3 linked regions of the Drosophila melanogaster genome follow. The protein of the gene in region 1 interacts with the protein of each later gene in a pairwise test. Each region holds a gene or a part of one and is shown in the gene's direction. Other genes may lie near its edges.

Evidence for each region.
Region 2: the proteins of CRAT (region 1) and Pits interact in a two-hybrid assay, tested with the Drosophila melanogaster proteins (one large-scale study listed by BioGRID).
Region 3: the proteins of CRAT (region 1) and CG4168 interact in a two-hybrid assay, tested with the Drosophila melanogaster proteins (one large-scale study listed by BioGRID).

What each region holds. Positions count from the first base shown.
Region 1 is NT_033777.3:6,370,511-6,375,707, reverse strand, and holds CRAT (carnitine O-Acetyl-Transferase), read left to right. Parts: upstream 1-1,682; 5' UTR 1,683-1,862; coding exon 1,863-1,894; intron 1,895-2,133; exon of another isoform or gene 2,134-2,231; coding exon of another isoform or gene 2,232-2,248; intron 2,249-2,327; coding exon 2,328-2,406; intron 2,407-2,471; coding exon 2,472-3,538; intron 3,539-3,601; coding exon 3,602-3,850; intron 3,851-3,909; coding exon 3,910-4,471; 3' UTR 4,472-4,682; downstream 4,683-5,197. Other genes in the region: CG42564 (uncharacterized protein), read right to left, coding at 294-688, 1,008-1,229; CG10286 (uncharacterized protein), read right to left, coding at 4,814-5,197.
Region 2 is NC_004354.4:12,580,173-12,584,789, reverse strand, and holds the start of Pits (protein interacting with Ttk69 and Sin3A), read left to right. Parts: upstream 1-1,596; 5' UTR 1,597-2,239; coding exon 2,240-3,218; intron 3,219-4,617.
Region 3 is NT_033779.5:15,197,439-15,202,420, reverse strand, and holds the start of CG4168 (uncharacterized protein), read left to right. Parts: upstream 1-1,961; 5' UTR 1,962-2,347; intron 2,348-4,982. Other genes in the region: Sfp35C (seminal fluid protein 35C), read left to right, coding at 357-384, 438-599, 659-714.

The sequences.
Region 1 (5,197 bases):
TTATATTATCAACATTTATGTTGTCAAAATATAATCAATTGGTGTTTATAGTAATTTTGAAAAATTTAATTTTTAATTTAAGAAGAAAAGTGACAGAATTATAACATTCAGATACTTTGTCTCCTAATAACAACAGGTACAATTTTTCGGTCTTTTTATAAATTTAGATAAGATTTAGAAAGGATTACAAAATATTAAAAAATAAATAATAATCATTTCAGGTTGAAATATTTACCAAATCCCGTAAGGACGCCCGAGTAAACAACCCTATATATTCCTTAAGTGGTACTCACTGAGATTCCTGCTCGACATACTTCATGATGTTCACCATCGAAGTTCTGGATTTTTCCCGCAACCACACCCCTATGATATCCCTAAGGATATCCTCCAACTCTGGCAATTTTCCTTTAATGCCTCGATACCCAACCGTCTGGCCAGCGTTTTGCGTGAACTTCGTGTTCCGGCACTCGTCGTGCCTCAGGACACAATCCCTCACATTGAATTCAGCTAGGTAGGCCAGTTCCGGGTTCCACTTCAAGGTGCCCATCCGACTGGCAGGACTCAGTCCGTTGAACCCTCCTTTGGCCACGCTATCCCTCAACTCATTAAATCGCCTTAATAGGAATCTTTCCACCTTTGGGCTTATCACTATGAGCTCAGCGTCCAGAGAGCACTTGTCGTGCAGTTCCTGAAGATATTATTGGTAACAAGTTAGGATAGTAACGCATTTTGGAAACAAAAATAACCCAGAACTTTTAGTATGACATTTTGTAACGAAGGTATACCTCTCAAAAGCCAATCAATTCGAAATTAATATTCGTCACTAATCAATTTTATCAACAAATTTTATGACATTGAAAATTTGAAAAAGTCCTAAATTAATTTATATTTGGCTTTCTTTCAACCATTTATACCTTATATAGTGTATGCGAACAAAAAATGTTGTTTTGTTAATTTGAATTAGTTGGTTGTTATCACGTGGCACACATTTTAGTTTAGTAACTTACGATTGATGCGTTGCAAGCCACATGTTTGAGTTCTTTGTGGCACAAGGAGGGATCGCAGTAGTCCGGTAGTTCCGTTGAGGAGCTGTTTCCTGGCTCCTCTTGACCTTGCGAACCTCCAGGAGATGGGTGACCAGCTTCGGTGACCGCTGGACTTGGTGTCGTAGTGGCTGCCGTTTGAATGGTCAAACAACTGGCAATCAGAAAAACGACAAGGGCCAACATTTTTCATCCAGAGACCGTGGCGTATTAACGTTAGTTTTTCAAAACGTAGATCAAACGGTTCGGACTGTGAAATCACAATTTGCAAAGATCAAATGATACAGCAAAACCAATGGTAGAATTTTTAGCAGATTAAACATTATATTGATAGTTTGGTTCGTCTCATAAAAAGCCGGAACAAATTATTGGGCAAAGTTTTTTAAAGCTTAATTTTGGATTTCCAAAAAAAAAAAATTGAAATCTTAAAAGTTCACGTTATTCTACTTAATAATATTAACGTTTTGAGATTATCATTCGTGCCGAAAATTTACTAAAGTAATTTTTCTGCAAAGAACCCCCCTAGTTTTTTATGAATACTAGAGCTGGGAATTCATCGATATTATTCACAAAACGTACGCTAGCTTATCATGAACATATATTGCATACTAATAGTATTGCTTGTTTTCTAAATATTAGCTTTAAAGAAGTTTTGGAATTGCTTGTGATTTTAATCGATTGTTATCCATTATTGATAGCACAGTTAAACCAACAACAGGGAGTGCTTATTTACTTGTTGCTGTTTGACAACAGCTGTTTCTTGTTTTGATTTGAACATACAAACATATATAAACATATATGTTTATATAGAATCTATAGATGTTAATTAACCGGAGCAAAACAAGAGTGAGGTAAACTTAAATTCTTTATTTGAACTGATGGGCAAGGACAGTCGAACCAGTTAAGGATTATATAAAAAGTGGTTATATATCTAGATGGTAATCATCGTGTATTTCGCTGGTATGGTATGGATATTAAGAGACGCACTCTTGGGAGAGCGAAAGTAAATAAACCGGTCGCTGATAGCATTTAAGTTGGGCTCCACTCCACTCCCACCCTTCTGCCTACGTGGACTGCTCTTTCGATGGCCAGTTGATTGGCAACTGCCGTTTTGCTTGCACTTGCCTCCTCCGCTGGCTGCTAATCGTGAGCCATTAGTTTATCGCTCCTTATAGCTAGAAGTAGATTATGTACAAATATCAAAGGTTAATTCAGTGCCACAGGCACACCAACCGGTGGTTGGACTTTAAAGTAACACTCGAATACCATTTCTCCGTTTTGCAGCCCAACGTCTGAGCGAATCCTCGAGAAAACCGAAGCCGAGATGAAGTTCCGTGGCAATGGAAAGCTTTTGTGGAATTTGGTAGTGCTCCATATGGAATGCTTGTGATTCTCCGTTCGGTAATCTGTATCCCATTCGATTTCCAGACCAAGAACTCCTTGGCCCAGCAGTCTCCAAATGGGATCGCCAAGAAAGTGCTGCCCGCTAGCAGCTACAGCACCGTCCAGAAGACCATTCCCTTGGAGCAGCCGAATCTGCTGAAGTACCACGTCCTGCCGCTGGAGGAAACGCTGAACCGCTTCATGACCACTGTGGAACCTCTCCTGACGCCTGAGGAGTTTCAACGGCAAAAGGGAATCACCTCCGAGTTTTTAAAAAAGCAGGGACGCGAACTGCAGCTGCTCCTGGAAGAAACCGGCAGCAAGGAGAAGAATTGGCTGGCCCACCGCTGGCTGAAGGCTGCCTATTTGACCTATCGAGATCCAGTCACCGTGTTCGTGAGTCCTGGCATGACCTTTCCCAAGCAAAACTTCAGGGACTCACGTGCTTTCGTGGACTATACCGCCAGGGTTATCTATGGACTGGGAGAATTCAACGACATGGTGCACGCCAACAAAATTCCGATCGTTAAAATGGGCAAGAACGAGCTGGACAACAGCCAGTTTGGCAAGGTATTCGGCACATGTCGGATTCCCAGAAGGGGCACCGACGAGATCGTGTACAATCCCGACTCCGATTATGTGGTGGTGATCTACAAGAATCACTTCTACCAACTGAAGATATACAGTAAGGAGGGAAAGCTCATTGCTGCACCATGTCTAGCTGCTCAACTCGAGAATATCGTCTTGAAGGAAACGCAAGTGGGAGTTCCTTATGGTATTCTGACCACCGACTCCAGGGACAATTGGGCGGAGGCCTACGAATATCTGGTTGAGACTCCTGGCAACCGGGATGCCCTCAAGACCATTCAGGGTGCTCTGTTCACCGTCTCACTCGATGAGGGTACTATCCTAAAGGAAGGCGAAGAGACCGACGAACTTATCCTATCGCTGATCCATGGCAGTGGCAGCAAGATAAACAGCGGCAACCGTTGGATGGACAAGACTATTCAGCTGGTGGTAAACCCCAATGGAAACGTCGGATTCACTTATGAGCACTCGCCGGCTGAGGGCCAGCCCATTGCGATGATGATGGACTACGTGGTGCAAAAGATGTAAGTTGAATAGGGCGCATGTGGTTAAAAACAACTTTATATTTATAATTTATATTATTTTAGGAAGGAAGACCCTAGCTTCGGGCAATCTGGCTCACAGGACTTTGCTCCTGCACAGAAAATACAGTTCTCTTCGAGCAATAAAAGTCTAGAGAAATCTTTGAACGTCGCCCAGGAAAACGTGGATAAACTTGCCGATGCTCTCCAAATGAAGGTTCTGAAATTCAACGGCTTTGGAAAGGATTTCATAAAGAAACAGCGTCTGGGTCCGGACAGCTTTGTTCAGATGGCGCTGCAGCTCGCCTTCTACAAGTAACTAGATGATCTTCCTACAGATTTTCAATATAGCCGAATACATTTACGTTTTGCAGAATGCACTCGGAACCACCTGCGCAATATGAGTCGGCGCACTTGCGCATATTCGACGGCGGACGAACCGAAACTATACGCTCTTGCTCCAACGAATCCCTGGCCTTTTCCCGCGCTATGCAGGACCCAAACGTTACCGATCAGGAACGCGCCGCCAAGCTTCGTGAGGCAGTAGTGTCTCATCAGACGTATGCTAAGCTGGCTCTTCAGGGAAAGGGTGTGGATCGTCACCTGCTTGGACTGAAGCTGATGGCTCTGGAGCACAGCAAGCCAATTCCCGAGTTCTTCAAGTCGCCGGGCTTTGTTAAGTCCAGTCACTTCCGCATGTCCACCTCACAGGTAGCCACTAAATACGATGCTTTCATGGGATACGGCCCGGCGACTGACGATGGTTATGCATGCTGCTATAATCCTCGGGATAATGACATCATATTGGCCATATCCGCTTGGCGCCATTGCCCAATAACGGATCACTTGAAGTTCGTTAAGACCCTCGAGCAATCCTTTTTCGAAATGAAGAATGTTCTCGAGAAGAACCCGCCTGAGACTAAGTCGAAGTTGTAAAAATGTACCAGAATAATAAAATTTAGCAGGGATCAAACTTTGAAGGACTTGATTTAACAGATGAAAGGATTTGGACTAGAATGGACAAACACTTGCTGCACTTGAAAACTAAATATGCTTTACATTTTAGCTATGGAATCAATCGATCTATTAACGCTTTTTTAAGTGGAAAACTTGTTAGTCGAATATTAATAAATACAAAAGACATGACAATTAGGAAGTTACAAATTTAACAGATTTTTTCTGTTTCTATTATCGTCGACAAATATTTTGGCATGCTTAAGAACTAAAAGTATTGTTCTCTGAAACTAGACAATAGCTTTAATTAGTGGTCATGTTAATTTATTTTTTACAGTTCTTATTAAGATAAAAAACAAAGCGTGAAAAATTAGTCTTCACTGTTTGCACTGTGGCTCGTCGCTCCTTTAGCTCCCGTCGCTGCTGCCGCAGTTTAGACTTGAACAACTCCTCTAGTGCCTGGACACGATCGCACATCTCCAACTCCGCGATGATCTGCGGCCAGTCGTCCACTGCGAAAATGTCCATTAGTGCATCTAGTCCTTCAGACAGGGCCCACAGGTCATCTTCCTGGGCACAGTAAGTCAATAGGAAGAGCACTATTGCCTTAACCAGGGGCTCTGAGAGCAGAGAACCCAGCGTACCCAGCATGCGGTTCCAGTTAACGCGAATATTTATATCTGTGCACTTGCTAGCGCCCTCGATAAT
Region 2 (4,617 bases), on another chromosome or scaffold:
CGAAACGCTTGCAATTAACTGCTTACATAAGACATTTGAGTCGGGCCCTTGTTATACGGACGTATGCCAGTAGAACAGTGGCCGCGCCGAACCGATCTAGCATTTAACTATCTATATACAACAAATATGTGCGATATTTTTTATATGCAGCTAATTTAATGTGTTGTATTTTGACCCCACACCACCTTGTAACTACGTTTATACGCCTGCTTTTCGAAAATTGAGTAACGCTTATAGAATTTTCGATTCAATTCTTTATGCCTTTTAACAGTTGAACATATATAATCAGTATAGCAACATTTTCTACCCACTTGTAAATAAGTTTATAACTAATGCAGTTTTTGTTGCCTACTTATTCGGGAGTCGAAAGGTCTGTAATTACAAATAAAGCTTGTGTATAAACGTAGTTCGTAGATTCTCTTTTGATTTTAATCTTAAAACATTTTTTGTTAATAAAAGAGGAAATTAAAAAAAAACTTTTAAACTTTCTAGTGTCTTTATTGTGGAATTTTAATTTTGTGGCAATTTAAAGAATATTTTTATATCTTTAATTGAGCCAAACATTTCATAAATAAAATCTCAAATGAAATGTTAAGAAGCGAGTACAGTTGCGCGTGCACGGACATAAACTTATGGCCGGGACTGTATGGAAAGGTGGGGGTGTAAGGAAAGGACCCCGTTTACGAGGTCGTTGCTTGTTCGTGTGTTTCTGTATCTGGTGGCTCCTTTTTCCGCATTTCCTTTTAACAGGATGTACGCACAGATACGGAATTTGTCCCAGACCATGGTCGGGAAATCGATTCAGGCCAAACGCCAGGAATACGAACACCCAAGCATTTTCGCCTATACATATGTACATATATGCAACGATATGCATACACATACATGCTTGCAGTTTGTGGTCCTGCGCAGTGCTTTACGGATGTCCTTGTTTTTTTTTTTTTTTTTGCTAGGAATGAGGGCTTTTAATTTCATTAACAGTTACAGAGCTCTGTTAAGTCAGCTGTTCGCCGAGCGAAAGAGACGGAGCATACCAGATTCAAGGTCTACATAACTGTATCCTATGTACATACGTTCGGTATCTATACGAAAAACGGATGTGTATCCACGAACTTTACATGGTATACTTACAGGCGGACTTTGGGGGAAGGACTTCGTCACTAGATTCCGTTTCGTGAATATGACGTGCAGGCACGTACGCTGGCAGGGTCGTAGCCCCAAAGGGGGTTAAAAATAAAAATAAATATTATTTTTAATTACTTAAACAGCCAAAAGGGTTTATTTTTAATATTTGGGCGTAATATTAGGAGCAATATATTAAAAGCTATATATATTAATACGAAATAGTAGAATTACTATGCTCAAAATGATGCTAAATTTTAAAGAAAATTTAAAATTTCCTTAGCTTTATCATGGTTGAAGTCTTCGCTACAGTCTCAGCCACTTTGGCAACCCTGGTTGAAGTCCACTGAAAGGTTCGTGTCTCTGATATAAGCCAGTATTTCAGGTATTTTCTTGGTATTTCCCATTGCGGCAGCGAAGATTTTTTAGTACATTTCGCTTGGCCCCTGGGGTATATTCTCACATACCAGCCAAGGCCACACTCTATCAGCAAGCTGTGTGGCGTCCGGTCGCTTTTTCAGTCATTCGTTGCGTCGCTGCGATCTCATCGTTCGTTTTGTTCCTACACGTTTTTGGCGTCGTCGTACATTTACGTGTCCCGCTTACTCGCGCGCACCCTCTCTCTTTCACTCTGCGGCGCGCGTGCCTAAGTGTGGTGTGTGGTGTGTGTGCCTGTGTGCGTGCGTGTTGGCGAGCAGCGCGGCGCAGCACAATAGAAAAGAAGAAGAAGAAGAAGCTGAAGCTGAAGGAAAAAACATAAGTGAATTTTTTTCGGGTGGAAGCGCGGTGAAATATGCGTGCGTGCGCGCGTGTATATGTGCGTGTGTGCGAAAATCAATACGAAAACATGAATAACAAATGCTAAATAAGAAAAATAGCTACAACGCACAACCGAAAAGAAGCTGAAACAAGAAAAAAGAAAGCGAAAAAAAAGGAGAAAATAATAAATAATAGGAATTGGGAATCCAGCAGGAAGGAACAGTTAGCCATTCCAGTGAGCTAAAACAGCACAAACCCATTTCCAGATCCAGCCCATCCAGGGCTTCCAATTGACAGTTGCCAATTGACAGTTGACAGTTGCTAGTTGCCAGTTGACAGTTTCCAGAAACGCAGCAGGATGTCGCTGCAAACGAAAAGGCAGCACTGCTATCTGTGCGATTTACCCCGCATGCCCTGGGCGATGATCAATGACTTCTCGGAGGCGGTGTGCCGCGGTTGCGTCAACTATGAGGGCGCCGATCGCATCGAGGCGGTGCTGGACGCCGCCCGCCAAATGAAGCGTCTCCATCCCGCCAGCAAACAGCAGCGTTCCCATGAGAACGGCGAAGTGTCCGCCGCTGCAGCGGCCGCCGTCGTCCTACAGCAGCAACAACAGTTACAAGTCGGTCCAGTTCCGGGACAAGGACCGGGTTCCCATCGCGGCGGAGGTGGCGGCGGTCCACCGGGTGCTCCGCCCGGAAGTGGTGGTCCAGGTCCGTCGGGCGCCGGTTCGCTCAGTTCGCTGGGCAATGCCGTTGCTGCTGCCGCCGCCGCTGCTGCAGTGCATCATCACCATCAGATGCCCTATCAAATGCCAGTGCCACGCATCGGTCCGCCACTGGACTATCCCGTTAAGCTGGAGGATGCCCCCGGTGGCGGCGTACGACCCGTACGCATTTCACACATGACGCCCCACCACCTGCCGCCAAATGCGACCCGCGGCGGTGGCGGTGCACCCGGCGGCGGCGTACCCACCGCCGGCAGTGGCGGTGGCAGCCTACCGCCCGCCCTATCCGTGAATTTAAAGCGTCCGCCCAGCGAGGATGTCGATGTGGATGTAAGCCAGCAGCAACAGCAGTCGGGACACGGCCTGGCGCCAGATGGCAGTGCTGGCAACTCCCTATCCGCCGGCGGAGGCGTATCCGGCGGTTGTCCGCCCGGCATCAAGCGCAGCGCCATGGACGATCCAAGTGGCGTGGGCGGCAGACCGCCATTGACGCGTGGCGAATCCCTGCCAGCGGCGGTCAGCTATGTGCCCGAGCGTCAGCTTAGCGGACTCCGTGATAAGCAGCAGCCGGTCAGAGCGCCCAGTTTCGATGCATCGACCTTCAAAGCAGGTGAGCAAACATGACATAGATCATTCAAAATACTTGGCACAGTGGTTACCCAATAGAAAGAACTTTGCTGCAGCAAGTAATGGGAAAATTTTTCATTTGCAGTAGGGATTCGGGAAAAGCAGGAGTAGTTTCAACTACCTTGAAAACTACCTTTCATAATAATTAGAGTAAAGTGATCAGAGTCTCAAAAGTGCCGCGTTGATAAATATTTGGCTTTATAAATGATAGTACAAAACACTATCTATCGTGGTGGAAAACAGATTTGGGATAATCCCCTATCAGTGATGGATTTCTTATCACTTATAGCGATCGGATCGAATCGCCAGTGGGAAATACGCGATATGGATTAAAAAATGGAGTGACCAGGGGGATGTTGTTTCCCAGCCACAGTGAACACTTGATATCTTCTAAAGTATATTTTATCAAAATATTTCAAATACAAAACTCTTCGAGGGGTGATATTTCAGTTTGCTTTGATAGCCAATGTCAAACAAAAATAAAAACTTGTTTAAACAAACAAGTGAGTTAGAGGAAATTTTTTTTTGCTAATTTCAATCTAAGATTTGCTGGATAAAATTAAACACTATTTTATCCTCCGGAAACATAGGAAATTTGCTTAAATCCTAAGTTTGAAAAAGTTGGCGGCCACTGTATTTGTTTACCGTTTCTTACCAATCCCCCGCCTTTTTTTTTTTAATATGAGCCGTGATCGCGGGATACAGAGCACTGTTTCTGCCTCGCTCTAGCCTGGATGTGGGTGGAAGGTCGTGGTGGGGGAGTGGGAGGAAGAGAGGCGGCGATATAGTGGCACACATACCGCTTATTCAGGGCAGAGTGAAACGGCGTGATTGCCTGCTCCTTATCTCTCCTTACTGGAAGGCGAGCTAGAAGAAGACTGCGCTTCTCATGTATATGCACGTACACATTTACGTTTGCATGGATGATAAGGAGCGTTGTGTTGGAGATTAGATAACTCATTTGCTTATCAGCGCGTCCTTATCGCCACCCAATGCGTATGTATAACTCACACATACACGCATACGTGCACATGCATGCATGTACATTCAAACAGAAAAAGAAGCGTATAAACGCATTTTGCAACCCTCTGTGGAAAAAAGGGGCTGCTAACCCTTGCCATTAAAAGGCATGCGCACATGCCAATATACATATAGGGAATATACATGTGCATGTACCGCGCAGACACACACGCGCACACAACTACGTGTTCGTTTACATGCACGTACGTAACAGTCGCAATGGCAATAACAAAAAACGGCGAGAAAAAAAAGCGCAAAAAGCACACGAAAAAAGGGCCGCAGAATGTAATATAAACAGAGACGTGCAAAAATCGTCGACGCTGACGTTGTAATGTTCTCGCTCTCTATCTCTTTCTCCCTCC
Region 3 (4,982 bases), on another chromosome or scaffold:
CATTTTTTGAAAACGTATATTACTATGAAGCAGAATCCAATTGTTGTGGTCTTACAAAGAAAATTAAATAATTATTATTTTACATATTTTACCTTAATGAGTTTAGTTAACCCGAAAATTCTCAAGCTGAATGAATGAATTTAGTGGACTACCGGTTAGCTATTTCTTCTGACTAAAATAAGTTTAGAGTCAATCGCACATTCATTTTTAACATGTACTAAACGTATTATACCATCTCGTACAAAATTTAATTGGATTGTAATGCTTTTTTAACGCATTTAACCTTAACCAATATAACCAATAAAATGCAATGTACTTGAGACTGTTTAAGTCAGTTATAATCGGCTACTATCATTATGAAATTGTTTTTCTTAGTTATTCTGGGTAAGCTAAAGATTTTCTAAATATTTTGATCATTCTTATTGTTAATCAAACAGCCTGTATGCTAATCGGAATTGCATGGGGAGAAAACTGCAATAAGCCGTGCGGAAAATGCATCTTGCCCACCTGCAATTATGATGGCAAATGTTACTTTGAGGGAACTAGCGCTTGTGCTCTGGAAAATGAAAAGTGCCGACGAAAGAAGAATAATCTTGACCGTGAGCTTTATGTTTGAAATGTTTTTTACCCGATTTTAACTTCTTTTAAATGTATTTAGAATTCGTAAAAACCGTGTCTGGGTTCTGTGAGATGGGCGTTAAAATGTGTAAATAGCCAAATAAAATGTTTTCAATTGAATTATATAAATTAAATATATTTCTTTTAAGAAATAAATAGTTCAAAAATAGTTCAATTGCTGTTTGTCCACTATTTTGATGTTTATTTCATTTGGGAGTTTTAAAAAGGGTATATGATATGATTTTTAACCATAACTTAGTTTCGCCTTAATGAAATAATCTACTGCTAGTGCTACAAGTCCAATTGCTCCGTAGTTTGACCGATGAAAACCTCAAGAAGACAAATATGAGGAACATTTTACTTTGCCACTCAAGCCCCAGAAAAGCAAACCCAAACGAAACGAAACGAAGCGAACCAAACCGAGCCACCCAACTATGAAAAATTTAAACTTTGCATCCAAGCCATTTATTCATCCTGCTTGGCATCTGCCATCATATCTTAGCATGCGGTTCTGGCTTCGTCCGGAGTTCTCTGCCCCCATTTTGCATCTTAAAGCCTCCATCTTTATATCTTTAACCATCTCTATGCTCTTCGGTTCTTGGGCAGTTTGGGGTGCACCTTAAAAATTAATTGAAACATCACTACCGGCTAATATTGTAGATTAAAAACAGCAAAAGGAGCTGTGCTGGGTAAGAGGACCGAAATGGGCCGCACCTAGATGAGGCATATAAAACTTTTGGGGTTAACTGAGTGCTCTAAAAACGGTCAGAAACTTGCAAATTGCCAGTATGCTTGGCCATTTATCAGTCTTAGTTGTGGGTTAGTTGGAAAGAATGTTCCACAATAAATTCGAACAACAAATTTGGCTTCTTCTGGAGTTTATTAGCTGGCCGCCGGAATTTTGCGGTCAAAGGGCGACCTGAACTTGAATCTGGCCGGTCGGTCGCCCATCTCCCGCACCTCACCCCCACCATCCACCTATTGTACATCCATCTTCGTCTTTGCCCCCATCAAGTCACTGTCCAGTTTAGAATTTCTTTGAATACTCCGCCTGATGACAGAGCATTGCCAGATAGCATACTAATTCCGGCTCAGTCACTGCGCATGCCCAGATGCTCCGGTAATCGTGGGTCTTCGGGCTTTGGGGCTCTCGCACCAGCGGCATGGGTCGTGTCAACTGACTTCGGGGGCTTCGGTTTTTGGGTCTGTTGCGCCTAGGACAACAATTTCCGTGTTGCATGCCTCGCCTTCGGGTGATCTAAAAACGAAGCGAGTGTCGAGGTCGCCAACGTGCCATAAAATGCGCATAATGTGGCACGGATGTGCCAGTCCACGTTGGTAATTTGGCGCGTGAGCATCGCCGATTATCATTTTTGCCACAAGTGGCAGCCCGTATAGTGATGTTGCTGGTGCAACGGCAACATTTCGTACCTCTAGCCGGCTAGATAAAATCGCGAAATGGTGACCACAAATAGATAGGCTTTGATAGCCGCGAAGCATTAACCAGAGATCGTATCGGTCGAGGGAGATCCGGCAGTGCTTATGATACCAAAAGTAATCAAGCGGTGATTGCAAAGTGAAGTGATCAGTAATCAAAACTCAAGTGGCACGAAAGCAGAAAGAGCAAACGAAGGAGAGAAAAGTAGCCTAGGCACATGCAACAACTGGATACGGATACGCTTTTCAAGCCCTGAACAGCCGCCGACCTACGAACCCACCCACAAGTCAAGTACGTAACAGATTGATGAGCAAGTCGCCGTCGCTGTCTCAAAGAACCACCCACTCACTTGGCCCCCCCACATCATCATCCTCATCCACCTCCTCCTCCTCCAACTCCCAGCCACTCACTCGACCAGGCACTTGACTAAAAGTTCAATTTCCTGCAAGATGCTTTAATTGAAGCGCACAGTAAACAAGAAACAGAAGCGGAGAAACAGAAAACAGAGTGGGCAAGGGTCACTCGTCGCCTTGGGTGCCTTCGCTCTGGTCAGTCATTAGTCATTTGCTCATTTCCGCAAACGCAGCCCGGATGTGCAGCACTTGTCAGTCAATAAACAACCTCGACGGGGGGTGGATGATGGGTGGTGGACGGATGATGGGTGGCGATCCACCCACTCTCCCAATTAAATGTGGCAAACGTATCAGCGTCAATCACCGATTCTGATGGCCAGGCCAGTGCATCCTGCCGCTTCACTGGCGTTTCCACAGATCGGCTGAGGCATCGGGAAAATGTCTCGGGCTATTTACATTGCCGTCCAAGGGATTGGATGCAATTTCGATTGGTTCATGGATCAGGTTGGACTTGCTTAAGGTTTTAATTTAACAAGCAAATGTTGGGTACCATACACTTGCAATGATAGTTTGTTTTATTGAGAGCTATTGATAAACTAACAGCTGTTTGACAAACAACTAAAATAACAGCTGAGAGTTAGTCGAAATGTCTGTAGATTTGGCAAATAAAATATATAAACACATGTGTGGTTTTTAACAATTTTAGATCAATTTTAGTTTGGTTGCAAATTTGGTTCCCAAAAATTATCGCCATTTATATGTAGCAAACAATAGGAAACTACGTATATACAAATGAAATATAAATGTTCATACAAAGATTTTTTTCGAAGGAAGGATTAAAAGACAAAGTATAAGTGTTTTAAACTTTTCTCAACCACTACATTTTTTGGATCTGTGTCTTTGGTCTTTAAGATGATGGAAAGAAAAAGTGGAACGCGCAGAAAAATCTGGAGGTGTAGTGTTGCAGTGGCAGTGGCAGAGTGGGTGAGTGGGCGTCGGTGGGTGGCAGGGGGAGTGGCGACTGCATATGTGTCACACATTGAGTTTCTTGGACAACAATAACCAAGACGGACAGGAGCAGGGTGCATCGCAAAAACGGTGCATAGGTGCTAAAAAAAAAGAAACAACGAGGAGCAACAATGGAACGGAGGTGGGGAAATATGGGGAATGTTGGGGGGAGTACGCAAGCTAACCCAGTTTTTTTTCGACGCTGGTTCTTCACAGCTCAGTTTTGTTTTGGGCCTCCTCTTTTTTTTTATTTTGTCTACTGCTGCTTGGTACATTTCTTTTTATGGCTTTTACGAACTGGCCGCAAAACGACGACGACGAATAACCAACTTCACTGACAGCAGAAGAAACGAAAATATTTCGACCAAAAACTGCCAGACTTGTCCAAAGCCACCCACCACCCACCACCCACCAACCCATCCCACTGGATGAAACCTGTTTTGTAATTGTTGTGTTTTTATTCCGAGTATGCGTGTTGATGCGGATTTCTTTGGCTTTCCCAGCGCCTTCTGGGCTCTAGCTTCTTGCCTGGGCCATTGTCACGTAAATCTGTGACAGAAATTAGCCTCGTTGACAAAAATATGCCTGCTTACACATTATTTGTACAAACAAATAGACGGGCAACAGTTAATGGGCGTGGAGAGTGTCGTCCTCGTGGTGCCTCTGGGTTCCATGGGCACCGTTCCATGGGGTTCTTGGGTTCTTCTGACGGGGGTGTTGCAGATACATGGGTCTGGAGAAATTTGCATGGGAACTGCGCCAGTTGACGCTGTTATTTCTTGGCCTCTTTTGGGCGAATTCCTCAGCTAGTTTTGTGGCTGTCGTCCTGTCGGCTTTTCTTCTTCGCCTTGTTTTATTGATCTGTTTATGCTTTAGGACCTCTGGCCCTACACTTCCCCCCCATCACAGCAATCTCTGTCAAACCCTCATCATGGATAAACAAACAAAAAAAGTTTTATTTGTGGACTACTGAAAATGCAAAATAAAAAAAAAGAAAACAAAAAGCAAGGGATGCGGGGACCGCAAATGTGCTTTTTCGGGGCAAAGTTGTGCCTAGGCTAATGACCAGACAGGCGTGAAGGCAATCATAAACTGCGTACATTTCATCCTCCCACACTTCGCACTCGAAGTTAATTTTCCTTGACCAGAGTCTAGCCAGGTTGGAAAGTTTACTCTAGCTCTTAATCAACTCATTATAATGAACAGAGAAATAAAATATCCATAACATGCCGTCGATTAAATTATTTGGTTGCCTTACGGCACTTTTGCTGATTGACTTTATGGAGTTTTGGTCTGATTTTTTCCAATAAAATGTAATGAGATTAATAAATCAAATTGTTGCACATAAACGATTAATGCTATAAAAATGTATGCATGTATTTAATTATACCGCTTACTTTTAGAGTTAAGGGTATACAACATTCGTTGAAAAGTTTGTATCAGTTAGAAGGATGAGTTTTCGACCCTATATTTTTTGAACATTGATATTAAGAATGCAGATTCTAGAAACGGCGAGATTGTGCATCTTACCCACTCTAACGCTGAGTACAGGGTATCAGATAGCC